3 linked regions of the Caenorhabditis elegans genome follow. The protein of the gene in region 2 interacts with the protein of the main gene of each other region in a pairwise test. Each region holds a gene or a part of one and is shown on either strand. Other genes may lie near its edges. The genes, in order: frm-1, gar-3 and vig-1.

The links.
Region 1: the proteins of gar-3 (region 2) and frm-1 interact in a two-hybrid assay, tested with the Caenorhabditis elegans proteins (one study listed by BioGRID).
Region 3: the proteins of gar-3 (region 2) and vig-1 interact in a two-hybrid assay, tested with the Caenorhabditis elegans proteins (one study listed by BioGRID).

The regions. Positions count from the first base shown.
Region 1 is NC_003279.8:14,892,585-14,902,434, forward strand, and holds the start of frm-1 (Moesin/ezrin/radixin homolog 1), read right to left. Parts: upstream 4,779-9,850; coding exon 4,653-4,778; intron 4,599-4,652; coding exon 4,448-4,598; intron 4,201-4,447; exon of another isoform or gene 3,979-4,200; intron 3,807-3,978; coding exon 3,409-3,806; intron 2,853-3,408; coding exon 2,602-2,852; intron 2,276-2,601; coding exon 2,109-2,275; intron 2,060-2,108; coding exon 1,992-2,059; intron 1,351-1,991; exon of another isoform or gene 1,246-1,350; intron 1,159-1,245; coding exon 1-1,158.
Region 2 is NC_003283.11:14,561,833-14,574,233, forward strand, and holds gar-3 (Muscarinic acetylcholine receptor gar-3), read right to left. Parts: upstream 8,144-12,401; coding exon 8,069-8,143; intron 7,272-8,068; coding exon 7,092-7,271; intron 7,034-7,091; coding exon 6,946-7,033; intron 6,619-6,945; coding exon 6,152-6,618; intron 6,104-6,151; coding exon 6,026-6,103; intron 5,383-6,025; coding exon 5,071-5,382; intron 4,985-5,070; coding exon 4,806-4,984; intron 4,091-4,805; coding exon 3,846-4,090; intron 3,798-3,845; coding exon 3,674-3,797; intron 3,324-3,673; coding exon 3,236-3,323; 3' UTR 2,988-3,235; downstream 1-2,987. Other genes in the region: C53A5.11 (Kelch-like protein 10), read left to right, coding at 1,057-1,068, 1,117-1,468, 1,929-2,140, 2,187-2,391, 2,440-2,807. UniProt on the Caenorhabditis elegans protein: The muscarinic acetylcholine receptor mediates various cellular responses, including inhibition of adenylate cyclase, breakdown of phosphoinositides and modulation of potassium channels through the action of G proteins.
Region 3 is NC_003280.10:1,317,014-1,326,142, reverse strand, and holds vig-1 (Hyaluronan/mRNA-binding protein domain-containing protein), read right to left. Parts: upstream 5,107-9,129; 5' UTR 4,996-5,106; coding exon 4,932-4,995; intron 4,811-4,931; coding exon 4,697-4,810; intron 4,650-4,696; coding exon 4,466-4,649; intron 4,408-4,465; coding exon 3,981-4,407; intron 3,930-3,980; coding exon 3,582-3,929; 3' UTR 3,070-3,581; downstream 1-3,069. Other genes in the region: fcho-1 (FCH domain only protein 2), read right to left, coding at 5,889-6,014, 6,058-6,117, 6,165-6,391, 6,992-7,445, 7,522-7,766, 7,846-7,972, 8,939-9,129.

The sequences.
Region 1 (9,850 bases), on a different chromosome or scaffold from region 2:
CCTTGTCATTTCTTCAGTAGTATCAGTAAGATTTCCACTGCGATCAACACTAGCCGACAGACGAACTCTTCTATCAGCATCAGGAGATTCTCGACGAACTTTTGTTGACACAACTTGTTCCCGCTGAGAAATCGTTGCATTCAAATTCGATGAAGACTGACCATCTCGTCCATCTCTATTTGTTACAGCTAGTGGATGAACATGCGTAATTAAACGATATTGGGGAGTATCAGGTTTGTGAATCGAATCCCCATGATGATACCGGCGTGTATACTGCTGAATATTGGCTGGCTGAACTTCTCTGCTTAACTCAGTTCGATGAATTGGGTCACTAGCCAAAGAAGCTGAGAAGTAGTAATCCTTTGGATCTATTTGTTCCTTGATGTCCTCCTTTCCTGGATGACTCAATCGCTTTGCAAGATTCCGCCGACTAGCTCCAGAATGTCTAACATCGACATAGAATCTAATCGGTTGTTGATCCATTTCTCCATCAGGCTGCAAGTTGTCAACATGACTAACTCCATTTCGAGGGGTATAGTTTCCGAAACCGTAAGGCAGTTCTGGACGTTGTTGGCGTCGAGGACTCAGTCGATCATAGTGGCCTTCGTGATAAACATGCACAATTCTTTCAATCGGAATCTGCGGGAGCTCACTGTACGGATAAGTATTTGGAATCGGCTCATTTGGGTCTACAGGTTCATGGAAAGAAACTAGACGAACACTATCCCTAGACGCTTGAGAACTTCTTGCGTCCGACGCCCGACCAAACAGATTTCTGCGGGCACCCGAGTTCGATGGTCCAGTAGCTGAAGTTGAAGCTGTTTGCCTCATCTGAACATGATACTCGCCATGATGTTGTCCTTCAAAATAAACAGGACTAGTTGGACTCGTATATTCGGATGGAGGATAATAGGCGGATGACGGAGTTCTCAACGACGATCTTTCAGACATATAGTAGGCTGCCGACGAGTAGTTAGAGGAATCATCGCCGCGTGGTGAATACGACAACTCGTGAGGACTTTGCTGGTGATGACCAGAAGTGGAAACAACAAGAAGAGTCGAAGGCCTAGAATACTTGGCAAATGTGGCAGTTGATACCGCGTCATCGTCTTGTCTCGATGATGTGTAGGACTTCGGTGTCAAAGCGCGTCGGTATCTCTGAAAATATAGGAAGGTCAGAGATCGATACACACAAATAGCCACTACCAGACGCAAACTAAACCGAGGTTTTGTGGTGCACAACTAAACTACAAACTACAAAAAAGCTAGACGATCAAGACAGGAAGAACCTGGATGTCCGAATAGCCTCAAAACAGAAGAGAGCAAATATACACACACGATGACGATGATGTTGACTTCTCCGATACTATGTTACTACAACGAGGTCTCCAGAAGACCTTATGACGATGACGATGGCGATTAGCAGGAAACTCTCTAACGGGAGTGCGGAGAGAGAGAGGGGTTAGAGATAGAGAAAGAAACAATTGAATTTTGGAGAGAAAACACCATCGGGCACATAATTGAACGAGGGGAGCTATCTTAACCCCCTCTCCACGCCGTTACAATCATAATGAACTGTGGTAGTGTCATTTAGCTGGAAACTGTATAGGTATGCATATATTTAAAACTGAAAACTCTCGAATTTTCAGAATTACAACAAAATGAGAGAAAAGTTCACGCAGAAATAGAAGAGGGGACATTGCTATATATTGAAAATTGTACAGTTCTTTAGAAGAATAAGGGGAAGAACTATGAAGAAAAAAGTTGACGTTTTAGCGGAAAAGTTTGAAAATTTTTGAGTAGAAAGAAGAAACATGTGAATTTTGTGTTTGTGCTTGAGGGGTTTTCGGTGGTTTTTCTCCAAAATTTGAAAAGCAGTTATTGTGATGTGAGCGATAGAAAACACAAAAAAGCGCTCTAAAAAGCGTTTCATGCAAAATAATATTAGAACAAAAACATAGAAAAGCACACTGGAAACCAATTAAACTAACCTCAAATTGGCGCTGCTCCAATTCCGAATCCGTGAGATTGAGTGTTTGAAGTTTCTGATTCTCGGCTGCTGTAAATTCATTAATAATGTATTTCAACTATTGTAATCAAAAACTCACTTGCTATTGGTTGAGACATTGCAGATGGCGCTCTGTCCACTGTCGATGGTTTATCAAACATCTGCGAGGCAATCTTTGTCTGGAATTGAGTGCGTCCTTGATAGCGGAACCGCTGGGAGCCAAAGTTGAAGAATGATTTATGTGTCTTGTCTTCAGGTTGGATCAGTCTGAAATTAAAGATTTTATTTAATTTTAAGAAATAATTTTTTCAGACCCGTCGAAATTAAATTTAAACGACAGAGATAATTATTTAATCGTAATTTTGGAAAAGCATGTTCGACAATTCAACAAAACAAAAATCAATTTCAGTTAAACAGTTGAAAAAAAATTGATCCATCGAGCAGGAATTCGAAAATTAGAACAAAAATTATTTTTCGACTCCTGCAAGATGAAAAATCCGAAATTTTTAGATAATTTTAGGCAATCTTCACGTATTTTTTAAACTTCTCTTTTAGAAATTCAGTTTTTGAGATAAGTTATTCTCAAAAATTACCTAAAGAAAGTGTGATGTTCGACTGCACACTTCCAAGTCCTCTTTGCGGCGACATGGTTTGGCAACTTGAAGTACAATGTCTTCTCATTCTTCTCGACAGTCCCTGCCTTGAGCTTTATCGAGAAGTAAGTACGACGATATCCGATTTTGATAATATTCTGCCAGCTGAAGGAATGCGTCTTTTGCTCGTCTTGGTAAATGTTTATTCCGGCGGCACCGATTCCAACGTCCACAGGCTTCTTGTCCTTATCCTGAAAGATATTTTATAATTATAAAAACAAAGCTAATTTGGGCATTTTCGAATAGTTTTTACTCCTTTACAGGTGGAACAGAGTCAAAACATTTTGTGCTTTAAGTGACAGAAAACCCTAATGACCGAATATGACAAATTTTCATTCAAATTTAATAATAATTCGATTCAAACATCCAATGCGTTGACTGGCTAAATTTACCAGTTTTCCTGATTTTCTTTTTATTTTTAAGTTAAAACACCGTTTTTCAATTTGCCAAACACTTTTCAGTGAATAAAATTTGATCACCCTCAAGAAATTGGCGGAAATTTCAAAATTAGCTTAAAAATCACCAAGCTGATAAATTGAAAGAGAATACTTAACAAATTAATTATTTTAGACAAAAGTAAATACTACTATTTTTTTCATAAACCACTAAAAATATTTCTTCAAAATTAAGGACTTGAAGAATGAGCACTAAAAGAAGAAAATGATAGAAGTTTAGATGTTAATTTAAGAAAAAATATTTTCCTAGTGGAGTACTCGAGCAGGAACCTTTTTTTGTCGAAAAACATACGGAGATTGCCTTGAAAAGGTGGATTCCGTAGAGAGCCAGGTGCTTGCAGTGATCCAAAAATTGATTTTCAGCTTCAGAAGGCGTCTGTCCGCGCATCTCTCTGTGCAAATCGACAATCTTCTTGTATGTTTCCGGATTCGCTTGTGCTGATGGCACCAGCTTGGACGCCACAATGAACTGCTCGTAGGCATCCGTCATCTCTGCTGGAGCATCACCGAACTCGATTTGAGCGACAAACGATCCGAGAAGAGAATGTGTGTCGGCAGTAGCTGGAAGACGTCCGGTGAGGAGATCACGTCTGAGTTGAAGGAAGACGTAGTAGCGAGCGTGATCGTCGACGATCGTTGTAGGTGTGGTCGGGTAGAATTTGACCTCGAACGAGAATTCCCAAGGAAGACCTGCAAAATTTGACAGTTGGTTGAAAAATTGATTTAAAAAAGAAAATGAAATAGGTGGCCGCGGGAAACCTCTTACACGGCCATGTGTTGATTTACGCAGTTTTTGGTTGAAAATTGTTCGAGATTTCGATGTTTTTCAGACTAATTTTTTTTTTTGAAACAAAAATTCCAACTTTCAATATTTTCCGCTTTCGCTCTATAAAAAATCAGTAAACTTTTAAAAAAGACTCGATTTCAAAATTAAAATTATCAGATTTTTCGATTTTCTTTGAAATACACAGAAGATTTGAGAAAACTTTGCGAAAAATGTAGAAAAACTATTTTTCTTCGAGGAATACACGAGCTGCGTAAATCGACACGTGGCCGCGGGTTAGAGTTTTTTATTATATTTTTAAGGATAATATTCCTAGATTCTTGTAATTCATCAGGGAATTTACAAAAAAAAAGGAAAATTAATACAACTTTGGACATGAAATCGATTCAATTTCTTTTCCGAATAAGAGAAATATTTTTATTTACTTGAAACAGCTTTCCAAAAATTTCAAGGCAGTTTTTTTTTTTTGAAAAAGCGGGGGAAATTAGCTTTTTGTGAAGAAAATCCACATTTTTAACCAAAATTTTCTTTTTTTTCTCATTTTTACCTTTAATCTGTTTCGCAATATTCTTATCATTATATAGCCAATGTCGTGTTCCCTCATCTTTGTCGTAGAAGCACAGCGAGAAGTATTCGCGTTCCTCAATCGATAGATCTCGTGTCACTTGTCGGAAAAGTGCTTCTCCTTCCGAGTTTTTCTGTAAAAATTTAGAATTTAGCAGTTTTTCCGGTGAAATTCTTCAAAAACTTACATTAACCTCAAACTCCTTTTGAACTCCGTCGGGAAGAAGAACTTTTGCCAACTGCATTTTCGAATCTCGTGGCTGCTGGCTAGTCGTTGGGTGTTTCTGGTCTCCGGGATCTCTATCGGTACCCATTTGCTCTGAAATGTGGAGGAAATTAATAAAAATTAGAAAAAAAACTGCAACTTTCATTGAAAATAGAAGTTTTAAAAGTTTATAGAGCAAAAGAAAGTGTTAAAATTTGAATTGCCCGGCCGACAGGGAGGAGGGGGGGGAGTAATGCAAACGCGCTCTATTCGAAATGCCACATTTTGTTCTGTTTTTCTGCGAAAAAAAAAGACAGAAGGGATGAATTGGTGTTGTTGGGAGAAAAAGTAGCCAATGCCCGGCATAAAAAACGCAATAAATTCTGGGAGGCATAGTAGAGAAGGACAATAAAGAAAAATTACACCTTTTCTCCGGTACCCGCAGATTGTGGTGAGAAAACATGAAATATTAGGATCATTTGAAGGTGGAAATGAAAAAAGAAAGAGTATTGGAGAAAAACAGTGGAAGAGTTAACTAAATTTACATTCAAAGTTGAAGAATACTTTTTTTTTACTAGAAATAAATACGAATTCAAAATTTTGGCTTTGACGATTTTAATGGGAATTTATAACGTGAATTTTTACGTTTTTATCTTCTGAAAAACAAAAACAAATTTATAAATGCCAGAGAACGTGAAAAAGTGGAAAATGTGGATTCGCAGCGCGAATAACACTAATTTTTGAGAAATGAAGATTTCGTGTCGAAAGTTTGCAGGGAATAAGTTAATTTTTTAGCTTTTTAATTACTTTTTAATTAAAATACAATAAATGGTAGGAAAATAGAAAAAAATAGAGGAAAACATCGAAAAAACGGACAAAATTTGTCTACAGTAAACTTAAAGGCGCATAGTTATGTTCGAGTGGGTCTCGCCGCGACGAAAACGTTTATGGTGGAAATTTTTATTTTTTTCAGGAATTTATTAGTTTTTAACGATTTTCCTTGATTTTCGTTAGCTTTTCAATAAGTAATTCGTATTTTTTAGTTCAGGAAAAAATAGGAAAACATCGAGAAAAAATTAAAGTGATGATTACAAAAATTGCTCACGAAATCCCGAATAAATAGAAAATTGCTACCACAATTTTTTATCGTGGCGAGACCCAACCGAATACATTCTTGAGGCGTTTATTACACGTTTCTAAAAAGCTTGTGAACTTGATAAAGTGAAATCACGATTAGTATTTTTAATTAGAAGTTTTCGATAGAGTAATTTTCTCATTGTCAGTCATGTTGGTCGCTACAAGACCCAAAATACACATTATTGGCAAATATCACAATAAAAAATTGTTCACATAGTTTCAAAAGAATTCCAATATATCAAAACAGCAAAAAATAATGCTTACGGAGAGCTTCAATTGATAGCAGAGGTGCACACACAACTGTTGCTATTTCTGTGCTATTTGTTGCTCTCCTCTCTTATTCTCGCCACCGCCATCAGGATGAAGAAGACGAAACCAACAGGCGTTGTGTTGGCCACAAAACAGCAGAAAAAAAAAACAAAAACGTTTAGTTTATTACACTGTTTCATTCTATTCTTTTCATCTCAGTCAATCACAGTAGTGGGAATTCGGAGGCAGAAAAGATGAAGGCGAGAGAGGTGTTGCAATGAGACAATTTTTCGCAATAGCAAAGAAGAGAGAGAACAAACAGTTTTTATTGTTGAACCAGCTTGTAGATTGACAATGTTGCCGATGAGAGAATTATTGGAGGCAATTAATTTTTTGGAAAGTTTCCTTCCGCTGTTTCACAGACCTAGTTATGACTAGCTTTAGAGACAGTCAACATCGCCCCTCCTTGTTTGACCTTTGGAAATTAAAAATATTTGGCAATAGATAACAACTGCCAAATCTCAAAAATTGAGGAAATTATCGAATTATCGAAAATTTGAACGGCCCAGTTGTAATTGCCACCAACCACTGCTCCGAACTTCAAACTACCCAATGCAAAACCGTTACCAGAAGTGAAAAATGCCCAGCATTGCCAAAACAAAATTTCAAAACATCTCCAAACAGATGGTTCCTCTTGGTTCTGACACTATGCCCTTGGTCACCGTATGTCCGTCCCTCACAAAGAGCATAAAAATTGAGAAATAGTGCAAGACCTTCCAGATGCGCAGACATTTGTTGGCGCCCTCACTCCTTCATTCATCCAATCTATCGACCAAGGGCACCAGCGCTCAACGACACACACGGAAAACAGTGACAATGATGGAAAAAAGCGGACAGAATGACTGGTAGTTTCCAATATTTGGGCGGAGTTTGAGGGTAATTTTTGCTAGCGACGAAACGAGAGAATAGTGGAGTAAGGGAGAAAGAGAGATGCAGGAAGAGAAGGCCAAAAGGATTAGTGAACGTTCTTTTTTGTTCGAAAAATGTGTAGAAATTCAGTAGTGGAGAGGAAAATAAAGGAGAAAGCATGAGTCACAACATTCGAAACTTAATCTTTGGTTATTTGTGTTAATATTTATCAACTATACATGTTGCGATAGACGATTTCATTTTTGACTAGTTGCGAAAATTCTCGACTAGGGAGAGACCAAAGTCAAGCACAACTAAAGTATTTCAAGTGTATATTGATATTAACTCAGACAGCTTCATGTCATTGAAACACCACTTACAACGTTCCACGTGTACTCTAATTAGTGTCGGATATAAGTTTTACTGCGATAAGTAAATGTTATCAGAAATGTGGACTCACTATCAGAACCGCGCCAGGCCGGGACTTACCACTGTTTGCCTAGATGTCTTCTCAAGTTTCACTAAAAAGGCGTGAAAAGTTAGTCTACTCCGTTCCCGTTTTTCCCAAGAACCAGTCACAAACTAGTTCTAGACCACCCATCAATTTCTAAGATGCATATTTACATAAACTACTCACCGCTTCCTAAGGTTTCCGTACTCTCCATTGTGGAGATTCTTGCCAAAATGAATCAGGGGACAATTCTCGAATTTCAGAGAATATCCTGTTTAGTTAAAGAAGGAATCAGAATGGAAACCAACACGAATGGTTGCGGAATGATAGAATAAAATGAAAACTGTGTGTGATAGGAGGAGGAGATAGGCGGTGCAAATGGATGGATTTTAATGGGGGGTTTGATGATTGTTTTCTATTTGAAACATCAAGAAAAAACACGGATGAATCATTCAGGAATTTCAGCAAAATAATGAAAAATGGAACAATTTCTGGAAATCAGTACTAAATGCTAACCAAATATTTCGACAAAAAACGAATCGAAAAAATGATTCGCAGCGTATCATGGAAAATGGGGAAAAATGGGTGGGAAAATGAAAGGGAAAGTGTATGTATTTATGTGTATGTACGATGGAAGCGAGAAGCGAGAGGGTGCAAACAAAAACAACACCGTCAACGGCAGTAGAGGCCGGAAGCTGCAATAGAGAGTACTGATGCGGAATGAATTGAAGATGCTGATGAGGGGCAAAAAAGTGGGCGAAAATTGTTGCATTCTTAAGGTCGACGAGATGTCACTGCATAAAATGTTATGTTATCCAAATATCTTAAAAGGAAACATTTAAAAAACGTATTAGATATTCATCAAAAATCTTAACAAAAAAAATCTTAAGGTGGAGTAGTTCCAGTGGGGAAAATGCTTAAAAGTATTCCTATGTAGTCAAAATGACCAAATATCACAACAAAACTTTTCAAAATTTTTTGAAAATTTTTTATTTTGTGTCAAAAAGTGTGAATTGCTCAGTTTTGCCACTCAAAATTTTGGAGGTGCTTAAAACCAATTGTTTTTTTTTACATTTTTTATACTGTAATTTTTATTAAATTATTTGTATTAAAACATTGTAGGGGTGCGAACATGCGAGATTGCTTTAATTTTCTAAAAAGATCAGATTTGTCAAAATTTTGGCATTTTGCCAATACTTTCTGTATAATACGATCAAAAATCACGTATACTCTTTTCAATGGGTTTAAAATTCATTTTTTTAAGACTCACCCTTATCCCCCGTTATTATTCAAAAGAAAAATAGTTTTAGATTTGAATACAATATTTGCAAGTAATAATACTCTGCTATTCACATTCATGCACAAGCAACTGTCATGAATTTGAATGTATGTTTGGAAATATGTGAAAACCGGCGGCGGGTCTCGAAACTTTATGAATATTCAATTTCATGATGATGACACGTATGCATTTATTGAAAACAGACGGTTGGCAGAAATGTAAAAATAACAATTTTGGTTAGAGCTCCAAAATTTTCTGATCATACGTGATTGCAATTCCAGAAAAATCTCCAATAGTAACTAAAACATCACTTTTTGAATTATTTTTATGAGGAAATACTTATTACTAAACTAGTGAAAAATGTAAAACTATCCAACTTCAACTATTAACTGGGGTATTCTCCAATCGCCCGAAAAATTTTGAAACCAAAGTGACTAAGTAAGAGCTATTGACATATCGATGTCTTCAAACTACAAGAGAAAGAGAGCGCAAACATAAATATTACAAGTATTGTGAATTGAAATGGGAGGAAAGCAAAAAATTGAACATTGTCAAAGAGTATGATATTGAAATAGAATTAGAGAAAACGAGAGGGGACTAACTGCCAGCGCAACTTGTAACTTTTTTTGTTTGCCATTTTGGAGGCTTTTTTTGAAGGGTAGGGATTGAGAGTTAAATTTCAAAATTTGTAAAGTGGAAAAGGGAAGGCAGACACACTTAAAAGATAGCGAGGAAAACAAGGAAGTGTTTTTTTTCTGCCAATAATTTTTTAAAATTTTGCAGTTACTAGTAGAATTTTTGATGAAAATAACTGAAAACAACCGAAATTATTTCTTGCGCTTACTTCGTTAAAAATAAAACAGAACGACTTTGGAAAGTGGCACGACGAAAGCGGACAAGGATTTCGTACAGTTTTCAAAAAATTGAACGAGATGTTTTAATGTAATCTGCATACTATGATTTAGAGTCATTAGATTGACAAAAATTTAGTGAATAAGCATTATTTTCGGCACTGAAAGTAAAAATGGAGCCCTCTCAAAAATATTCGTGAACATTTAAAGGTGGAGTAGCGCCAGTGGGGATTTTGTCTAAATACACTTATAATGATCCAAAACGACCAAATATTATTATAAAACACTCTAAAAATTTTAGATTT
Region 2 (12,401 bases):
TTTTCAGGATATATTTCTGAGATCTAGGAAGACTTGTGCCTCTGTGAAGTCTTCAGTCAAGATGACATAAAAAATAATTTCCTAATAACTTTCAATATGAAATACCATTTCTAAAACTGGATAGGAATTTCTATGTGTCAATTACAGTATCACATTGATAATACGATTCCTCATTTTTCTTTCGATAAAAATACAGGTTCTTTCAGCAAAGAGTATTCCGATTCTATATTATCGGACCATTATTTGATTTACTCATTTTTTTTCAGTTTTTATTCTCTTTTAAGGTAAAAAACATTTTACCTTAAAAGTGGATTCTCGGGATTTCGTCTAACGTTAATAACTTTTGGCAGTCAAAACAACACGCTCTATTTGTAAAGAGTTTTACGGTTTTAAAATTTTTCAGTCAAAGTTTTGGTAAGTTGACTAGTTTTCAAAAAAAATCGATTTTTTTTGGTTAATTTTGAGCATCTCTGCGGGTTCAAAGAATTACAATGTTTATTATTAATACAAACAATTGAAATGGAATCAAAATAAAATAAAGTCACAGAAGATTAGTTTTTTTTGGCGTCTGTCAGTCAAAATTGATATAGTTTTGGATGCAAATTAGAAATTTCCAAATAGTTCTTGAATACTTTACTACGTTATTTTGAAATTATAGCATCATAAAAGCAAATAACAAACTGTTTTTATTGCTCTTCACTAAACGAGAAGATACATAATCAGACAAACTCGATGAATCATGAAATGAATACAAAATTCTATATAAATTTAATGTTAGCAAGATTTGTCATCTCCGCTTTCTCGGCGCTAAAAGATTCCTCAGTAATGCTTTGAAATTTTTTTGAGTTGTTGAGTAAATACACACTTATAAAGCAACGCAGCATAGATCAAAGTAGAATAAAAGAAGAAAGCTTGTACCGTAGGCTTTATCCTTATTCTGTAGTTTTCCTTTTCACTTTTAGTTTTGTTAAACTAATTTTTTCTCAAACGTTTGATTTTCAGATAACTTCTCTTGGCATTCCTCGTCACAGGCAAGGAATTATTGGTGTCGAAAAAATGACGAATCACGTGAGACAATGCTAATTTATTTATATGTTCATAATTTTTCGATTTCAGATATTTTCAGATTCAGAATCAGATCGAGAATCTGGTGCATCAGAGTTTGATTACCACAGTGACTCACAATCAGAAGAAACACAGCATCCAAAAGCAATAGAAATGAGAAATCAGTTCAGAAACACTACCGAAAATCTGATTCAAACTTTGCAAATGTTTTTTGGAATATTAAGTTTTGAATTATACGAAGGAAAAGATAATTTAAAATGCATCACAATGATTCATGATATTACTTCATTGATGGAAGTTGCTGATACAAAATTGAAGAACTATATTAATACTTTGAATTCCAAAGAACAAATTTTTATGGTTGATGATGGTGTGCTGAATATGGATCCAATTTTGGTAGCAGGTAAGATTTCTCTTTGTATGTTAATAACAAAATGTCTGATTCTGACACTGATTGTGAGACATTATGCATACATCGCTAGCTAACTTCTGTATATTTCACAATTTAAAATATACTGGAATTTTCAAATCCATTGCTAAAGGACAAATTTAGATGTTTCGTTGTAATTAGGATATCTTGTACCGCAAGTTTTCAAGGAGGCATCGCTGAAGCTTTGAATGTTATATCATACTACATATGTATATAGTTAATTTGCAATATGCACAAAATGCTTCAGCGGTCAGGTTATATCATACTATGTATATAGTTAATTTGCAATTTGCACAAAATACTTCAGTGGCCACAATGAGCCGATCGTGATAGAAGACCGCACGATCCGCGTATCACGGCCGTTTGAGAATCGCCGTGCGCGCATCCGGATGGAAATAGCGCAAGTTAATTGTCTATCTTCTCTCTTTTTCAGATCGAAAACAAAATTCCCGCGAGCCACTTTTCATTGGATACTTCAAACCTGATACAATGAGCTTCATGCCTATTGGAAGACTTCCTAATCCAAAATCCCATTACGCAGTGGTATCCAGTTCAACGAAAGTTTTTATAATCGGAGGAATGAATAATGGAACATATTTGAATCGTGTAGAGATGTTTGATAAAGAGAAGGGTATTCGTGTAGAGGTTTGTTTATTTAGCTAGTGAATTTAATGAGCAAAAAGCTTTACAGTGTACAAGGCTAATGCATGGACGAACTCGGACATCTGCATGTATTCATGAGGACGCAATTTACGCAGTGGGAGGATACGATGCGACATATATGAGTTCAGTTGAGATTTATGATATTAAAACTGGAGGAGACTGGACCACAGGCCCATCATTAAATAACCGTCGCGCCGATGCATCAGTTGTATCATTTTATGGACAACTTTTTGGTAAGTTCTAGCAAGAATTCAACCTTCTCTTAATTAATCATGGTTCAGTGCTTGGCGGCTTCAATGGAAAAGATTATGAAGAGACTATTGAGAAATTATCAGATTCGAAAGACAAGTTTGAGGTTTGTGGTAATATGGTTGGACGTGCAGGTTTTGGTGCATGTGTATTCCGTGGAAGAATCTATGTGGCTGGTGGATGGAACACCCCTTGCAACACATTAAAAACCTTTCAAAGTTACGATCCATTGACAAATACATGGAAAGATGAGCCATCGATGAATACGGGAAGAAAGTATTTTAAGCTTCATGCTACGAATGAAGCAATCTATGCAATTCGTGGATGTTCTCATGACTGGGATCTTATTAAAGAGACGGAGAGGTTTGATCCACAGACTTTGACATGGGCGACTTCTTAATACAGATGTTCTCAAACAGAATTATGATAAAAAACATTGCGTTTTCATTTTTGGTCTTGCTATAATTGTTCCGAAGCATAAATTGAGTAAATTTCTTGAATATAAGAATGCAGTTTCTCTTCCAGGATTTTTTTTTCAGATTTTAAATAATTGTGACTCATTAAAAAATAGAACATAATAAAAATAAAGAGTTTCTTTACATTAAAAAACCCGTCAACAATGAATGAGCAATGATTCGGTGAGAAGAATGTTGATAAACAAGACCAAATATTTCGAACTAATTTGAAAAAAGTTAAGAAAAAAGTTGAAAAAAATTAGAAAATGATGATGTTGGACCGGTTTTCAAATGCATCTAATATACTGTTTCAAGTGTTTCGAGATCTTGGCAAAGGGAGTTGTGCACATTTTTGTACTGATTGATTGAGTCTCTAGTTGCGTCGGACATATCCCTGATTCATTGTGGGACGTTCCGCTTTAAATTTGCAACGGAGAATTCGCATGTATGTGTGACGGAATCTGGAAAGTTTTGGCATAATGGGTAGTTTTGTGGAAGAAGATTTGGCCGTTGCGTACGAGCCTCATACCGCATTATTTATGATTTTAAACTAAAGTGCTTGAAGTCGTCATTTTCATTTTCAAATTTCATAACCAGAATTTAATAAACATTCAAAAAATAACCAGACACAAGAAAAACCATTAATAGGTTCGGCCCAGAGCTTGGCTGTTCTGAGTTTTTGCATTAAACTTTCTTGGATTTTTTTGTGCTTTTCGTCTTTTTCATAACTACTATAATTTAAAATTGAGGCAAATTCCCACTAGTGCTATGCCTCTAACAAGTTCTTTTTAATTCTCCCAGTGATCCTTACCTTGCATTACAAAGAGCATAACAAAGTGGATTGATAGTCGAGTTGATGTAACAAAGGAAATAACTAAACGTCCATAAAACATTTGGAACAGTGTTCGGAAAAAACGCTTCCCAGCAAACGATCACTGAAATGCATTAATAATGAATTTAATCCTTTGATCTCTTGAACTCACAGTTATATGGTGTCCATGTGGCGATGAAAGCGCACAAAATGGCGGAAAGTGTTTTAGCTGCTTTGCTCTCTTGCTTCCTTTCATTCTTCCGTTGCTCTTTCTCACTTTTGCGCTCTTGAGAACTGAAGTTTTTAAGAATTCTTCCATTTTTGAATGGTGATTGCTTGTTGAGAAGACTGTGTCGACGCTCGTCAATCTCACTATTACAATCACTTTTTGAGCGATTCCGTGTGGAAATCGGTTCGCTGAAAATGGAATTGATGAAGAATGGAAAACTGTTAAGGTTTAGCAATGGAGCAACGTGTGAAACATTGTCAGAACTCGTCACTGTAAAGATCAAGAGCTCTACAATTTGGAAAATCTTGGAAATCAGATCATTGTTTTGTTTCATACTAGTAAAAGTAAAAGTGTAAAAAGAAATACAGAAAATGTCCGGGCAGTACACAAAAAAAGTGGAAAAACACCACCAAATTCTGAATAAGCTTATTTTTTATTTTTATGGGAAATTTTCACTATACTTCGTTTCAGATAATTTGCCAATTGATACAAATGTTCGATACCGTTACTGACATTCTGAGCTTCGGAATTAATTTCGAAACAACAGATAAAAAACAACAATAGTTACGCCTCAATCTAGGTGTATTTCAAATAGTTTTGATTTTTTTTTCAGCTCGACGGTATAAACCATATCGAATATGAGCTTGCAAAAATTTTTGATTGTGTAAACATGATAATGCAAAATAGTTATTTGTTTCTTACCAATTTGGTGAAGTAGAACAAATTAAATAAAGTACCCCGAAATTTCAAATTCCTCATAACCCACAGAGCCAATTGGGAGCAGCCAAAAAGAACAATTGAAAAACCAATTTAAAGATTTTCAAATTTCCGAATCCAGTAAAAAACCACTCCACATTTTTTCTGACTTCAAAAAGTCTGTACAAATTGTCCAATAAAACTCACTCTAAATAAGGTTCACAGCTACTTAATCGAACACTTGGACGGCTTCCTTCGTCATTTAACTCAATCAAAACTGTATAGGTGTCCGAATTGTTATTCTTTCCAGTGTCTGATGGGCGACTTCGAAACCTTGCTGACCCATTTCTCATAGATGCTCCCGCATCAGTTTGCTCTTCGTCTTCCTGGAAATTCAAACTTTAAAAATTAAAAAAAAAAAGAAATAGTAGTCGGGGCATTCAGTCGTAATAATTTGCAACTTTGTACTTACAAAATTAGTCGGCATCGGTGTGCACGGCGGTGAAATGTTTCTCCTTCGACTCCCACTCAACGCAAAATGACTTGAACTCAATGAAGTATCATCCAGGTTCATTGCAACTGCTTCTGAACTATCTTCAGATGAAGAATTTGATTTTCCAGTGCAATTTCTAAGCCAGGATTTTCGTTTCGAGTTCCGAGAGGAAGTACAAGGTGTCACGCTATCTTCAACGTATCCATCTTGATTATTCTTTTTTCTCATTGAACCACTTGATTTGATAATTGAAGTGGAGGATACATCCCGCTTCATTGATCGACGCGAGAACTGGAAAGAAAATCAATTAGACTTTGTAAAACATATATTAACCATGGAGTAGCGTCAGTAGGAATTTTGTTTCAAATGATAGATAATAGTCTGAATTTCTTGAAAAAAACTATGAATAAAGGTTTTTCTGTCAGAAAATTTACTTCATTTCAGCACAAATTTTCAGACGGCAAAATTAATTTTCAATTGCTGCGAAGTGTGGTTATTATGAAGATTTTTTTTACAATTTTTCAGTAAAATTTTTTCAGCAATGTTATTTCTTGCAGTTTTTCTTGTTCGTTTTTTATGAAATATTTCCAATAGAGCTGTCGAAACCTCTAAAACTTTTACGAATATGATTTTTTGTGAAATATTAGTTTCCTTTTAACTATTTTGAAAAAATAATATTTCCGACCAATTAACAAGTTTTCAAACCTTTGCTATTTAAATTATTATTTCACAATTTTTCTGCAATTTAAAACTAAATCCTCATTGGTGCTACTCCACTTTTTAGGAAAAAATACTTGGGTAATCTGAAGGAGAATAGTCATGCTTAGAAGTTGTCTGGGAATCGAATTCAAAAAAATCATAACAATTTGAAAATCGAAAAATGATGATAAATGCAAAAGAAAAGTTTAAAATTTGGTAGCTTCTAAATTTGAACCTTTTTAACTTTTTTCCACATTTTAGAATTTCTGAATGATTGAGTTGATGGCCGATCTACCACATCGCTTGCCCAAGTCTGATTAGTTGGATTAGTGGAAACTTTTTTAAATTAATGAATGATTACCTGCGTAGCTTGAAGCTTTCCAAACTCTTTTTGTCGTTTTTGAGTTTCCCAATATACTCTCGTGTACAGAATGCACATAATTGTAACAGGAAGATAAAATGCAGCAACCGCGGTTCCAACTGTTACATACGGATTTGTCTGCAGGAATTGTACGACACAAGTTCCAGGTTCTGCAGTGAATTTTCCTTCGATATACGGCCATGAAATGATCCATGGAGGCCATAGAATCAAGGATATTATATATGTGCATGCAATCATTGTCAATGCTTTTTTAGTTGTTCTTCTAGGCCTGTAGGACAACGGTCGTGTCACTGAGAAGTATCGATCGAAGGAAATGAGCAGAAGATTCAGGACGGATGCGTTGCTCATTAAATAATCGATGCATAACCAGAACTGGCACATTGTGTATCCAAGATCCCATTTTTGAATTGCAGTGTAGTATGTGAACATGGGTATTGATATGACACCTGAAATATGATATTTATTTCACTAATGTGAACAGTGCATCGAGAAAGTATTTTCTGTCGCATTTTCTCGCATTTCGCCTTTTTGGTCTGTTTGTTCACTGTCCACTTTTTGTCGCAAACTTTCAATTTTCTGTCGCCCACTCCCAACTTTTTCACACACCTTGCCGAACTTTGGAGCACCTTTGTATCTTTCTGTACCAATTTTCCGTACTCACATATTTTTATCACATACTGTTCTCCACTCTTTGCCAAACACTGTCGCGTTTCTATCAGTTATTGGCGATTTGCGACATACAGCTATGATTATTTATTGTAAAAACCACTCACCAATTGCAATATCTGCGACGGCTAAACTAAACAGGAAATAGTTACTAATTGTCTGAAGTTGCTTGTCGATTTTGAAGCTAACCATTACCTGCAAAAAATCTTATGTTCACACAACATTACCAATAGGTTTTGATTTTTACACCCACCATCAAATTTCCAAGTGAGGTTACTAATGCGAACATTGCACCGATGACAACTATCATAACCATTCGACCTTCTTCACCGAGCAGCGACGACGTGGAATATGTGTCCACAAAGGATGGAGTTGAGGTGGATGATGTCGCAATCGCTGTCTTTGTCGCATTTTCGGCCGACGTGTTTATCACCTGAAACATGAAATGTGAGTTGGAAAAGTTTGATTGTTATTTTTATAGTTAATCCACGGTACACCCATATATGATCACTGTGAAAAAAAAATTTCCAAAGCCTCCCCTCAAGATTTGTTTCCTTCAATCCCCACCTCAGTTCTCATCAATCTATTTTTCTAATCTTTTCCTCATTTATTTTCCTGCAAAACTATTTATTTTTTCCACCCTCTCATCTATCCAATCTCACTAATTGATCATCACAAAAAGTATTTGGAGCTAGCAGTTGGTAAATAGGAAGTTCTTTTTTTGTGTGTTAACGTGTCCAATACGAGCATTCTTTTATTATCTGATGAGGAATGAGCTTTCATCTTTTTGTTTTATTGGCGGATAATAAAAGTAGATAGGTGGGATTGTAGGGATACTGGAAAATGATCAAAAGGTGTCTTGGAAAAATATCTGATTAACTTCTAATTTACTTTTACAAAAAATAATTTCAAAATGTTAATATAATTTTAGCTGGGTTTTTTTTAGCAGATCAGTCGAAATGAGAAGGGATATGTGCTTTCATTCTCCAATAATTTATAAGGCGCCCCTTTAAAAACTCTTGGTACTGGTGAATTTTCCAATTTTTCAGTCTTCAGTCTTCAGGTGTATCTACAAACAGTGTCTGCAAATTACTATGCAAGTACTTATTGTTTTGCATTTTCTTACTATTTAATTTTTTTTTATTTTTCCGAGATGATTTCGTGATTTGTGACCCGTGGAATCATAATTTTTCCCTCAATTAGATAAAACAAATATCGTATACTACTTACCTTCACCAACATCTGGAATAAGTGTGTCTGCCGGAATCGAGGATCATCAGCATTCCCCAACGAAGAGGACTGCATCCTCTCGTCTGTGGTGATCCTGTAAAAAAGAAACGTTGTTCGTTTGGCAACACACACAACAAACTGGGAAAGGGAAAAAGAAAATATGGAACATCATAAAACCGGGGAAAAGGAGATGAAAAGTGGTGTTAACAGGGGGACCTCATATGAATTTTTGAAGACCTTCAAGTGGAGGAGGACCTTCTTTTTTTTTGTTGAGAATGTTGTTGTGGCGACATTTTTTGAATTGGAAATTGGGAACTAACAATATGGGAGGATACAATTTAATTTGAAGACACAAGGTACAAGAGCATGTACATATATTAATTTTGTGGAAATTAGATTATAAATTTGAATTTCAGGTCTATTTCCGGTGGCCGGTAACTCAAGTGGTGTGGGTGACAAAAAACTCGTGTAAAAAAGAGGGTGAAAAAAAGAAGGGCATTTATATACTAGTATATTGGTCCTTCCTTTTCTCCCAACAGGACCACTAATATCAGGTTTCAATCCGGTGGGGCTCCCCAATGTTCTTTTCTCTTTCGCTCTTGCTCAAAACTTTTTCATTCCGTGTGAGCTCATAAGTCTTTGACGATTATAATGATGATGTGGTTTGAATGTTAAAAAAACAAACTAGTCTCTCGTCGTGCACTTTGGACCACAAACGACGCATGAGGTGTGGATGGCGAGACGTTCGAACGGATTTTTTCAAAACGTTTCGAATTTTCAAAAAAAATTTAAGTTTTATGTGATTAACTTTTATTAAAAGGTTCAGAAAATAGTAAGTTTTTCTGTAACTTTAAATTTTTTGTTAAATAATAATGAAATAATTAAATTTTCTCCAAAATTAAATAATAATGCACAATGCAATACTAAAAATTACCATTTAACTGTAATTTTTCATTTCCAAATTTGATCCAGAATTTTACTACCGTATTTTTCCTATCAGTATTGAACTCTATTGTTTAACTTTGACTGCTTATATCTTAGTTGTTGGTTGTTCTATAAAAAAAAGTGTCAAAAACCTACATATTTGTTATTTCTTGTGCTATTATATTCTAGTGAAATATTTTTTTTGATATCTTTAAAAATAACCAAGATAAGGGCTCACAAAGTAAAACCGCCGGGTGCAATAGTGGAAATACGGTAAAACTTTACATGGTCCACGAAAGGCTACCATTTACGAGTTTAGACTTCAAAAATTTGAAATTCGTATTTTCTGCTTGGGGGTTCAATTATTTTTACTGGAGTTTCCAATAACTTACCAAAATTAGCCAAAATCAGTTAAGACCAGTGAGAACTTTTTTGAGTAATAGAGTTATGTTTTTCCAACTCTTTACCGACGATTAAATACATAACTTAAAGTTTACGACTAGTTGAGCAGTTTGAAATGGAGAGGAAATCTGTGTACTTCAAAAATCGTAAATCTTAAAATGCTCCATATAATTGATCAATTATTGGAAGAATAATTAAAAATTGAGCTCTCAAATACCGTACACTTTTTAATGGATTTGGCATCAAGTAAATTTTTAAAAGTTAGGAGTGGATTTTCAACTACTACATTTGAGTCGTGAGTGCAATTCTAATATGGAGGAGACGAGACAAGATTTCTTCGTGACATCACCCACATTTAAATTAGATTTTTAGAAAGATTTGAGATTCTTAAAATGAGATTACAAAATGGACTATTGCTATAAACAAATTGATAACCTAAGAAATTTGACAAACTTGAGAAAATGTATTTCTTGCTTATTGTCTGAAACAAGGAAGAGTGCTTCGAAAAGAAAAATTACATTTAATATAAAAAAGTGGACCTTTTTCTGCTCTCCCCTAACCGAAAGGGGGCGGAGAGAAAGAACGAAGAAGTGATGGAGAATAGAAACAAAAACCGAAGAAGTGCCCCGGGAGATGAAGAGAGAACAGGCAAAAAAGTGGACAAAAAGGGAGCACAAGCGACCTATTAGATGACGGTTCATCGCACCACACGTTTTGACTTTCTTCTCAGGAATAGTGGAAACATTGAGATAGACAGAGAGATATAGAGAGAAAGGTAGAAGGGCTCTCGGGAAACAAGAAGGGGAAAAAACGGAAAAAGAAACAGGAAATATATTGAGGTTTTACCTGAATCCCCCCAGGTTCCGAAATTGGGGACGCAAGGTTTGAGAACTCTTTTTGGAACAACTTATTCTTAGAAATCCTCGACATTTCAAGATCTTCGAATGTTCACTTCCTACAAAACCTTCGAGTTTACCATAAAAAGAGTTCTAAGGTTTGAAAGGTATCCTATAGGCTTGCTCAATGCCTACCTGTTTACTTTAAAATCATCCAGGACTGTTGAGGTCGTTGAGTCGCTCATAGAAAAAGAGTTAGAAAACATTGTTTTCAGTTAAACATTTTTGAATAGAATACCTGGCAATTAAGATATAAGCGGTCAAAGTAGAACAATAAGGTGAAAATCTGACAGAAGAAATAGCGTATTTTCATGTTTACTATGCCTTTCGACACGCTCGTAGGCACAAGGTAGGCGTAGCTTGCCTTTAAAGCAGCTAGGCAGGAGCCTACTTACAATTAGATCTCATGAATGATAATGAATAGATTTCTGATCGTATCAAAATGTGATTTTTTCCAATACCGGGAAAACATGTTGTCTTCAAAGCAACTGGAACAACTACAGTTTGAACTATTTTCAGCGGATCTCATTTCAAAATGGCAAAGCAAAAATATAAAAGTAGCTCAAAAAGGAAGAATAATCAATTGTTCTTCTTTTTCTTTCATTTTTCTCTATCGAAAGTGTTAGTAGTGAATGTCTGTGAGCATTGCTCCCACCAAGTTGTGAAGTTTTTGTTTATAAAAGAGCATGTCCTTGGACCACTTGTCACACACGTTTTTGGATGCTTCGCGATTATTTGGATATTTTGAGCATGTGTGGACGATGTGAACTAATAATAAACACCCCAGAAATTGGGTGTACGTTCCTGCCTACCGTGTAGTCTCTATTTTGCCACTGAAGGCAGGATGGCATTTTTGTGCCTACAAATTTAAAAAGTTTGTGTGCTCAACAGTATACGGTATATCGGAATTGAATGCCAAAAATTACAAATTTGTAAAAATATCTCTAATTTCCAATAATCTACAGTTTTCTTTTATCTTCGAGTAACAATTCAAACAATTATATTGACAAAGAAAAAGTGTAAAAAGTTGATGAAAAGCGATCTATCGGCAAGGGTAAAAGCCACGAGATATAATAAGAAGTTGGCCTCTCTCGCCCCGAATCTCACATATATATCTCATATCAATATCACCCCCGACTCTCCGATCATCATCATCATCATCATAAACTTTCTAAAATAAATAAAGAGTGAAAAAGAGATGCAGACGTACAAACAAAATGAGCATTTACTCTTGGGAACAGCAGCCTGTGCGGGGAAAAAAAGGAGCACACATTTTTTATCGGTTGATCTGATCTTTCTAGTGGTGCCAACAACTTTCCTTTGCGTTGTTTTGTTTTGGGAAAATATGAAGAATATGGGGGGAAAATGGAATGATCGAAGCATTTTATAGTTTTCGAACAAATGAGTAAGAGTTCACAGTCGTAAAAGGTTTAGAGGTTTTATGATCCGACAGCTGTTTGAGAGCTCACGGAGAAATTCAGGGGGCATTCCGTTTTTGAAGGTTTTGAAAAATAGCTAATGCCTGCCTCGCTGCCTACATAGTTATCTAAGCCGGCCTGATGCTCACGAGGAAGCCTGGAACATTGTTAACTGATTATTTAGTTTACAGACACGTAAGCCTGATTAACGTGCATATCTAGAATTGGTCAACTTCGAATGCTTTTTTATAAATCTGCAATGATGACAAATTTGAAAATGTACAAAGTAGGCGATAGACAGTCACGTATTTCTCAGTGCGTGCCTGACTACTAATATACATATTAAAACTATGTACAGGCCTGGCTTGAGACACAGTTTGAAAAATTGTTTCAAATTTTCCAAAAAACCTCGATTGGGAATTAATACTGTATGAATTTAAATTTCAAGAAATCAAAACATCATATGAGTAGAAATCATAACACTTCACTTTCTGTCTATCCCCTCTTAACTACCATTTGTCTATTGACATACACTTGGTTGATCTAAGAAGTTGGATGTCTAGTTGAGAGGTCAATAAATAGCCATACACATCAATTCAAAGAAGATGTGCAACACCACACCTTGATGCTATCCGATTTCAAAATCATCAAAGTAAGAAAAAGGTCTGAATATACTGTAACTGTAAAAGATGC
Region 3 (9,129 bases), on a different chromosome or scaffold from region 2:
GGGGTACGGTAACCCCAAAAGTACGCAAACACCGGACCTTACGACAGAATGCACAGAAACCGAAAGTTGTCGGAAAAGGATGGATTAGGGGTAAAATTAGGTGCTGAGTTCGAATTTTAGCATGAAAAATTGATGAAAATTGAATAAATAAAGATTTTCGGGAAAAATTGCTAAAAAAAATTTTTTTTTGCGATGTTTTTTTCTGGCTTATAATTTTCACCAATGTTATTGGCTATATCATATCACGAGTTTTGACATGTTATCTCAATTTCCTCCCCCCCCTTTCTTCACTCCATTTCCCTCATCGAGAGAGCACACACATTTTCCAATAAATTCCGCGCATTTCCTGCTCTCTGAGGGTAGCGTCTTCTTCACACTAATCTCCCGACGAGATAGTATGTGAAAGTGAGAGACGCAGAGAAAATGAGAGCAAAAAAAAGATGTAGTAATGAGTGGGAATAGATTAAGGGGTACCCCCTGAAAGAGGGGGGGGGGGGGGGGTGGGGAGGTGCAGGTTTTTTTCGAAAAACCAAAAAAATTTCTCAAAATCCAACGATTTTCATAATTTTTCACATTGAAATTCGATCTCAGCACCTCATTTCACCCCTAGAACACTTTTTTCAGAGGATTTTGAGATTCTGTGCATTTTCGCGTAAGGTGTGCGGTGTTTGCGGACTTTTGGGGCTACAGTACCCCCCAAAAGACAAATTTGAGCAGGAAACATAAGAAAAATGTTAGAAATTTAATATATAGCCCTATAATTTATTTCCAGGCGAATATATCTTCCGAAAAAGAAATTTTGAAAGAAAAAACTAAAAAAATTGAATTTTCAATGTTTTCAGGTATTTTTTGATAATTTTAACTGTCAAATTCAAGTTCAGCGCCTCATTTCACCCCTGGGACTGTTTTTTCCGATGATTTTGAGATTCTGTGCATTTTCGCGTGAGAGACTCGGTGTTTGCGTACTTTTGGCGCTACAGTAACCCAAAAACGTCAAAATTGTGCAGAAAACGCGGGAAAAATTGTTCAAATTCTCGAAAAACGGGAAATTTGGAAAAACAATTGCAATTTTTTTCGGAAATTTTCAAATTTGAGCAAGAAGCTTAGGTCTGCTAGTTCTAAATCTGTAGTTTGTAGTCTGGCAGACCAAAAAAAAAATGTTGGAATAGATTAAGGAGCACATGAAGACGCCGAATTTTTTCATTTTCTTCTTCTTCTCGATCTTCTTTTTTATAGATAGAATGCATGCCAAAATGAATTCAGGAATTACAGAATTTCTAATGAATACGTGGATATGGGGCATAAAACGATGACGTGGCAAAATGTAGTTTGTAGTTTACAGCGGAATTTTAGAAAAAACGTATACTTTTTAAAATTGATAACTAGAAACTAAAAAATGACTTGAATTCTATGAATTTTAGCAATTTTTCATTATGAAATTCAAACTCAGGGCCTTTTTTTACCCCCTGGTCCATCTTTTTCAGACAATTTTAAGTTTCTGTGCATTTTGTCGTAAGATGCTCGGTGTTTGCGTACTTGTGGCGCTACAGTACCCCGGAAATTTGAAAATTGAGTCAGAACTTTTTAATTATCGCTAAAAAACGAGACAAAGTGTAGTTTTAAGTAAAAAAAAAATCGAAAAATCGAAAAAAAATGGGTCTGCTAAACAAATTTTCGTAGTTTGTAGCCTAGCAGACCCAAAACACAAAACCCTCCTCATAAATTTATTTAAACATTAATATTAATAGTCTACATAAATTTCCTATTCTCTAGAATTGAAAATTAGTATGTATTTAAGGAGACACAGAAAAAAATGACGTGGCAGCACTACGACACTCCGATATCCCGGTAGATCAAATTAGGTCAGACAAGAGAAGAAGCTTCGGGTGGGGGGCACTGAATTGCACGGAATTCAATTAGGAAAAGGAAGGGGAAATTGGAGAAAAAATACAACTTTTCGCGGGGTCTTCAAGATTTTGGTCTGCTAAATACAAAATGTAGTTTGTAGTCTAGCAGACCAATTTGGGGGGCCCATTTCGAAGCTCTAATTTTCGCAAAATGTTGACAAAAACTGAATATTTGAAAAATTATCTGTTACACAGCAGCACAATTCATTCAAAACATGATAAAACTTTCAAAAATCGGCCAAAACTCACGTCAGCTTGGGTCTAATTCTTTTGTGTAGTTTGTAGTCTAGCAGACCAATTTAAGGGAAAAACCATTTTTGAGCATTTTTTTTAAAAATAAAATGAATTGTACTTCTCTTCTGCTGTAAACAGTGTCTTGAGAGCTAAAAACTGAAAAAAAAATCCCTAAATTCAGTCAATTTTTAATTTAAGATTGGTCTGTTAAATAATTGTAGTTTGTAGTCCAGCAGACCCATACGAAACTCTAATAATTTGGGTCTGCTAAATACGACTTGTAGTTTGTAGCCTAGCAGACCAAAACTCTTCAAAAGCTCATGGGTCTGCTAAACACAGACTCTAGTTTGTAGTCTAGCAGACCAAATTCTCATTGGTCTGCCATTTCAGAATTGTAGTTTATAGTCTAAAAAGCTTCTCAGGGGACCTAATTCAATTTCAAATTCGGACGCCGCTGCTGTCATAAAATCGTTACTAAACTTGCGAAATAGCAATTTCCAAAGAGAGAAGAGTCGCAGGAAGATTTAATTAAAAATTAAATTATTTCGAACGCAAGCTCGCTCTATTGAGAATCTGAAGAATTAAAAATTCTAATTTAGGCGGCTAACAGAAGGGAAATCAATAAGAAGTGAAAGGAGAGCAAAAGTTTTTGCCGAGCAATGGGGAGGGGGGGGGGTGCTCCCTCTCTCCCGCTGAAGAAGACGTCGCGGCTCTCTAAAAGAGGCGGCAGAGAATCAGAGCACTCGGCTCGCGGCCTAGAAATGGCATGTGTCAGGCCACGCCCCTGTGGTTGGTTTAGACCGTTTTATTACAAAATACGGATACAGTTGGGTGGGGGGGGGGGGGGGGGGTGTGTGGAGGCAAAAAGAAGAAAAATGGGTGTTTGTGTGTGTGTGTGATATAGAATGATTGGGGTGTTTAACACAAAAATGATGCTTTATCAAATCTTGTTAACAACAAACTCCAATTAAAACGAAACCTGGGCGCAATGGGGTGGTGGTTGGAAGGGGCACAAATTGAGTTTCCTAGTACTAGTTCGTTGATCCTTGACACAATTGAGACCTTTTGTTGTGTCAAATATTTGGTAAAGAAGAGGTCGTCTTGGTGGGTGTATGTGGAAGATCAAGGGATTCAAAGGGCTTAAAAATTAAAGAAAAAACGGGAGATAACAAGCAAACCAAATCGAGGGCAACTCATCAGAAGAGAGATCGATAAGGCAGGTGATAACAACAACAAGCTAAATGGGGGAACTAGAAAAAAAAGAAAAATAAGAAACAGGCATTTTGGAAACGAACAATTTGTGGGGTAGATGGGCACAGGCAAAGATATTGAAAAGAGGAGAATTTTGAAGAAAACAAGATGGAGAGAAGAACAGAGCATTTGAATGAGGGCGGGCGAATTGGTTGGTTGGCTGAAGGTCGTTGAGTGGGGGGGGGGGAATTACTTGGCACCGAGAGCTGGGAAAGCATCGTCAGAAGCGTTGAATGGAGTGTTGTTGCGTCCTCCATGACCTCCTTGACGTTGTCCTCCACGGCCTCCACCGCGTCCACCTCCTCTTGGTCCTCCACGTTGCGGCCTCTCAGAACGGTCGTTGCGCTCGCGTTCTGGACGATCGTTGCGGAAAGTGATCGAAATGTCGAGCACTTGCTTTCTTGGAGCCTTGTGGATTACGACGACCTCGTCTTCCTCACGATCTGGGATGACCTCCTTCTTGATTGGAACGAGCTTGCCAAAAGTATCGGCGGCTCCCTCTCCGGCCTTTCTGGTGTTGAACTTTGGAGCGTCAGCCTGAAACAAAAAAAAAAATAAATTCCAAAACTAATATTTTATACGACTCACCTTAGCCGCAGCCTTGAACTCCTTAAGAGTCTTTTGCTTGGCAAGAACAGCCAACTCAGCCTCGTAGGCGAGCTCCTCAGCGGTCTTCTCACGTGGAACCTCTGGCTCGGTGCTCTCAGCGCCCTCTGGAGCAATGTTCTCGGTTTCTCCAGCCAACTCGTCCTTCTGGTCTCCCCAGTTGCCCTTTCCGTGTCCGTCCTTCTTGTCGAATGAGCGAACTCCGGTACGGTCGGATCCGGATTGACGATCGAATTGACGCCCACGTCCACCACGGCCTCCTCCACGTCCGCCAGATGGTCCACCTCCAAGGGTGAATCCTCCACGACGTCTTGGGGCACGGGTATCTTGTCCGTCTTCGAAAGAGACCTCTTGCTTTGGCTCCTCTCCTTCTCTGTTCTCGCGAGTGAATCCTCCGCGGCCTCCACGTCTAAAATACAAAGTTCAGTAAAATGAAAAAAAAAATTAAAAATTTAAGCGTTTCTTACCCAGCTGGACGAGCAGCACCGCGCTCACCGCCTCTGCGGGGTCCTCCACGACGGTTCTCGCCTTGTGGACGATCACCGTTCTCGTTGGAGACACGTTCTCCGTCACGTGGACGGCCGGCTCCCCCGCGTCCGCGACCACGTCCTCCGCGTCCACGTCCAGCAGCACCGTCGGTTTTGGTGGCGGCTGAAATAATGTTTAATTAATTTAAGAATAGGAATGCCAATTCTTACCAACTGGAGCAGCGGCTGGCTTGACCGGCTGGGCGGGCTTCACAGACTTTTCCTCCTTCTTCTTGGCGGCGATTTGAGACACCTTTTGGATGAGCTCTCTTGGGTCGTCATACTCTGCAAATTATCGATTTTTTATAATGTCTTCTGGGCGGAGTATATCGCATATGAATATTGCGCAATATCCCATCGGGAAGATAAGATAATCATCCGGCGATCATCATCATCAACCACTCACCATCGTCGTCGTCGGATGGAAGACCGAACTTGTTGGTGACCTGGCAACCGTATTCAGTGCTCATTTTTGCTGTTTGTGTTGATTCGATGAAGATAAGATTCCAAGTGCAGGAAGCTTCTGTTCAATTCAATAATTTCAATGCCAAGTTAATCAATAACCCATAATATGGGGATACCTGCAAGAACGTTAGTTTAGATTTCAAATTTTCAAACAAAAATCGATATTTAAGAAAAGAGTATAATTAGCCAGACACCGTTGCGATATTTTAAATCAGTTAAGCACTTTTCACAACTAAAATCAAAAAATAAAAAAAGCAAATTGCATTTTCTTAAGGGAATTTTTGAATGTTCCAGAAAGAAATCGAATCAAAAGTCAGAAAATCAACAATTGCTCAAAATCCACTATTTCGGAATAAAATAAACATTTTTCAGTGCAATTTTGATCAAAAATCGGTGATTTACTGCTAGCAACCCAAAAAATTACAAAAAACCGGCGAAAACGGTCAAAAAAAATCGGAAAAACTGTTCAAATCGGACAGGTGAAGGTTTGGCTGCGTATCACAATAGTGTAAACTGGCGTTTGCGAGCCGCTACGCAGCCAAATGCGACCGCCGAAATGGGCGGCAGTTTGAAATCGAAAACTAGTCCTCGGCCATTTTCAATCAATTTTTGGTTGGGGGAAAACTTGTTTTCCAATTGTTTTTGTTGTCTTAAAGTATTTGAAAAGAAATTTATGACATTTCCAGCCCAAAATGTGTGTAAAAAAAGTAAAAATGCCGGGAAAAAGTATTTATTACAGCGGGGGATAACGAATAATAGTGGAAAAACTCGTTTGGTGGTGAAAAATTGGAAAACTAGAAGTTGAAAGTTTGTTAAAATCACAGATTTCGCGAGAATTATGCTATATTTACACAGAAAAATTAAAACAAAAATCAAATTAAAAAGCTCTTCATCTTCTCTATTTCCGCAGCTCGGGATCACAAAAATATTTACCAGCGAGCACCTTTTTACGAATCATAGACAGGTGATAAATATCCGATTGCACTAGGGAAATGTCCACTCCAGATAGATTGGCTTCCAGGCACTGAAAAAGATAAATTAAGAGCTTAAATTTCAGTTTTTAGTACCTGAAATTGCACGAAGACCTGCGCCGGCTTCCGATCGAGCATTTCCAAGCTTACTTCGTCCTGGAAAATTATATATTTTTTATTTTAAAGCAATTAAAAAGCCCGACCCCAGAATTCTTCATAAATATCCTTGCTTTCAGCGATCCGTGCACATCTCCATTTCTTGAAATTTCCAGCAAATTCCAGCCGAGTGACGGATTTCCAGCCACCCATTTGGCTTCTGGCTCACACATCACAGAATCCACGCTTCCCGTCAAATTTGTGCTGAAATTCACGTTGAGAAGTGGCGCCGAGATGGAAGATTCTGAGTTGAGGCGATAGTCGACACGGAGATCTGAAAAGAAATGCGGATTTTTATTATTAGGCTTTATTTTTGGCGTTTGCATTTAAAAAGTACTACAAAAAACTCAATTTTATTTAGCAGACTCAGCAATTTTGCCAATTTCAATAAAAAATTTGGGTCTGCTACACTACAAACTACAAAATCAAATTTAGCAGACCTATCAATTTTCTGCAGTTTTTAATAAATTTTGGTCTGCTAGACTACAAACTACAAACTCTTAATTAGCAGACCCATCAATTTTCTGCAGTTTTTAATAAATTTTGGTCTGCTACACTACAAACTACAAAATCAAATTTAGCAGACCTATCAATTTTCTGCAGTTTTTAATAAATTTTGGTCTGCTAGACTACAAACTACAAACTCTTAATTAGCAGACCCATCAATTTTCTGCAGTTTTTAATAAATTTTGGTCTGCTAGACTACAAACTACAAAGTCTTATTTAGCAGACCAATCAATTACTGCGCTTTTTAGGAAATTTTGGTCTGCTAGACTACAAACTACAAACTCTTAATTAGCAGACCCATCAATTTTTCGCAATTAATATTAAAAATTCAAATTTTCTCAAAAACACAGAAGATTTCTCGACGAACCAGTGTGTCCAGGTTCGAATTTCCAGTACGACGTCAGGAATAGCGGCGGAACCATATTACACGGTGCCGTCGGCTCCATTTCGAACCGCGCGACCTCCGCGTTCACAAATGCCGCATCCGGCTTCGCGAGCTTCTGTGCTTGAAGCCACGTGGCAAGATGGGTCTTGTTAAAGTAGAAAATGCACATCTCGTCGTCCTTTTTGCTCACATTCTCATCGATAAGTTGCTTGTTGGGGAGCACTGATTTAATGAATTTAGCATTTGAGAGCCGGAATGCTAGTGGCTCAATTTCGTGTTGGATGGACGTGAGAAGAGTTATTGATGACGTTGGAAATGATATCATTACGGTGCCGAAAGTGCGCTGAATGAACTCTTCGGCTCCTTTTTTGAACCAAACATGCACGTGCTCGTTGATGGCCATGGCTAGCGGAATTCGCTGTTCGGATATTGTGGCCTGAAATTTGAAAAAAAAATCAACATTTTCGAGTTTCTTGAACCCTGAATCTTAAGCCTGAAGCCTGAAGCCTTACCTGCAATAAATTCCCGGTAGACTGTGACAAATTAAACGTGGATTCTCCAAGGGAATGATTCGATTCACTGGGCGCCAAATTGAAAGTACTACTCCACGGATCCATAAAGCTGCTCGCCGAGTCCTTCCGGCTCATCATTTGGCTCGTGGTGGGAGTGTTGCTTCGGGGCCGAGCTCGTGCGATTCCGGCCGCCATCGCCTGGTTATGACCCATGGAAACGGAGAAGGCAGGAGGATCCTCGGATTCTGGAATTAGGATTTCTTTTCAAATTTAGGAAATTCTACTAGAAAAGTTTAAAATATCGAAGAAAGAATATTAAATTACCACTAAAATTAGTCCTAAACCGTCCGTCAGCAGTGTGATGTGAGCGTAGAGGTTGCCGAAGGGAAGAGACATTCATCGACTGAGAGAACATCAGTGGAGCTTTTGTTCCGCCAATCGTCCAGGGATCCTGAAAGATTTCAACTACAAACTACAAAAATAGGTTCAAAAACCGGAAATTTGAGCTGAAAATTTCAAGAAAATTAGTAAAAACGTGCTTTTTTACTCCAAAAACACAATAATTTGGGTCTGCTAGGCTACAAACTACAATTTTCGATTTAGCAGACCCTACAAATTGTCAAAATTTTGAGGTTTCAGCCATTTTTAATGGAATTTTGAATTTTTTTGTTGAGAAATCTATGAAATTCGCATTTAAAACCGGGAAATTTGAGCTGAAAAGCCAAGAAACTTGGTAAAAACAGGCATTTTTTCTTTGAAACTGTGTTTTTTAATCTAAAAACACAAAAGTTTGGGTCTGCTAGACTACAAACTAAAATTTTCGATTTAGCAGACCAATATTAAAAACTGTTTGTTGTCAGCTTAAAATTTTTATTTTTTATTAGTTTTTTTTTTTTGGAATACAATGCTAATTCACTCAAAAATTTCAAAATTGGATCAATTTTCCGCCGAAAGTTCTGATTTTTTCAGAATTTTATATGAAAATACGCACTTTTGTCTTAAAACACAAAAATTGCAAAATTTTCCACTTAAAAATCGCAAAACACTTGAATTTTTAAAATTTCTATTCGAAAAATATTCATTTCCACACTGAAAAAATGAAAAACTCATCAAGTTTCCAATTTGCGAAAATTGAAAATTTTGGGTCTGCTAGGCTACAAACTACAATTTTCGATTTAGCAGACCCAAGTGGGTTTGAAGAAATATGGTCTGCTAGACTACAAACTACAAAACTAGATTTAGCAGACCCAACTTTAATAGTACATAATTGTCCATTTCCGACTGTAATTTTTTTGTTGGTTTCTCTAATTTTTTTCTAGTTTATACTAGTCTCGCAGACTCATCCAGTTGTGTAGTTTGTAGTCTAGCAGACCAATTTCTTCGTTTTTTAATTGATTTTTTCCCCTTAAAAACGAACCCTTTCAAAAGTGGTACTCCTCGTCAACGTAATACTTCCAATAGCATCTCTCAATTCATCAACCGACGCATTAATATGTACAGGTCGATCGGAAATCGTCATTTTCCGTATTCTCGACTTTTGAAGCTCATCCTCGTCCTCCTCCTCATCACTAGAACAACTGGACCATGCTGTTGGATTTGATGAGTCGG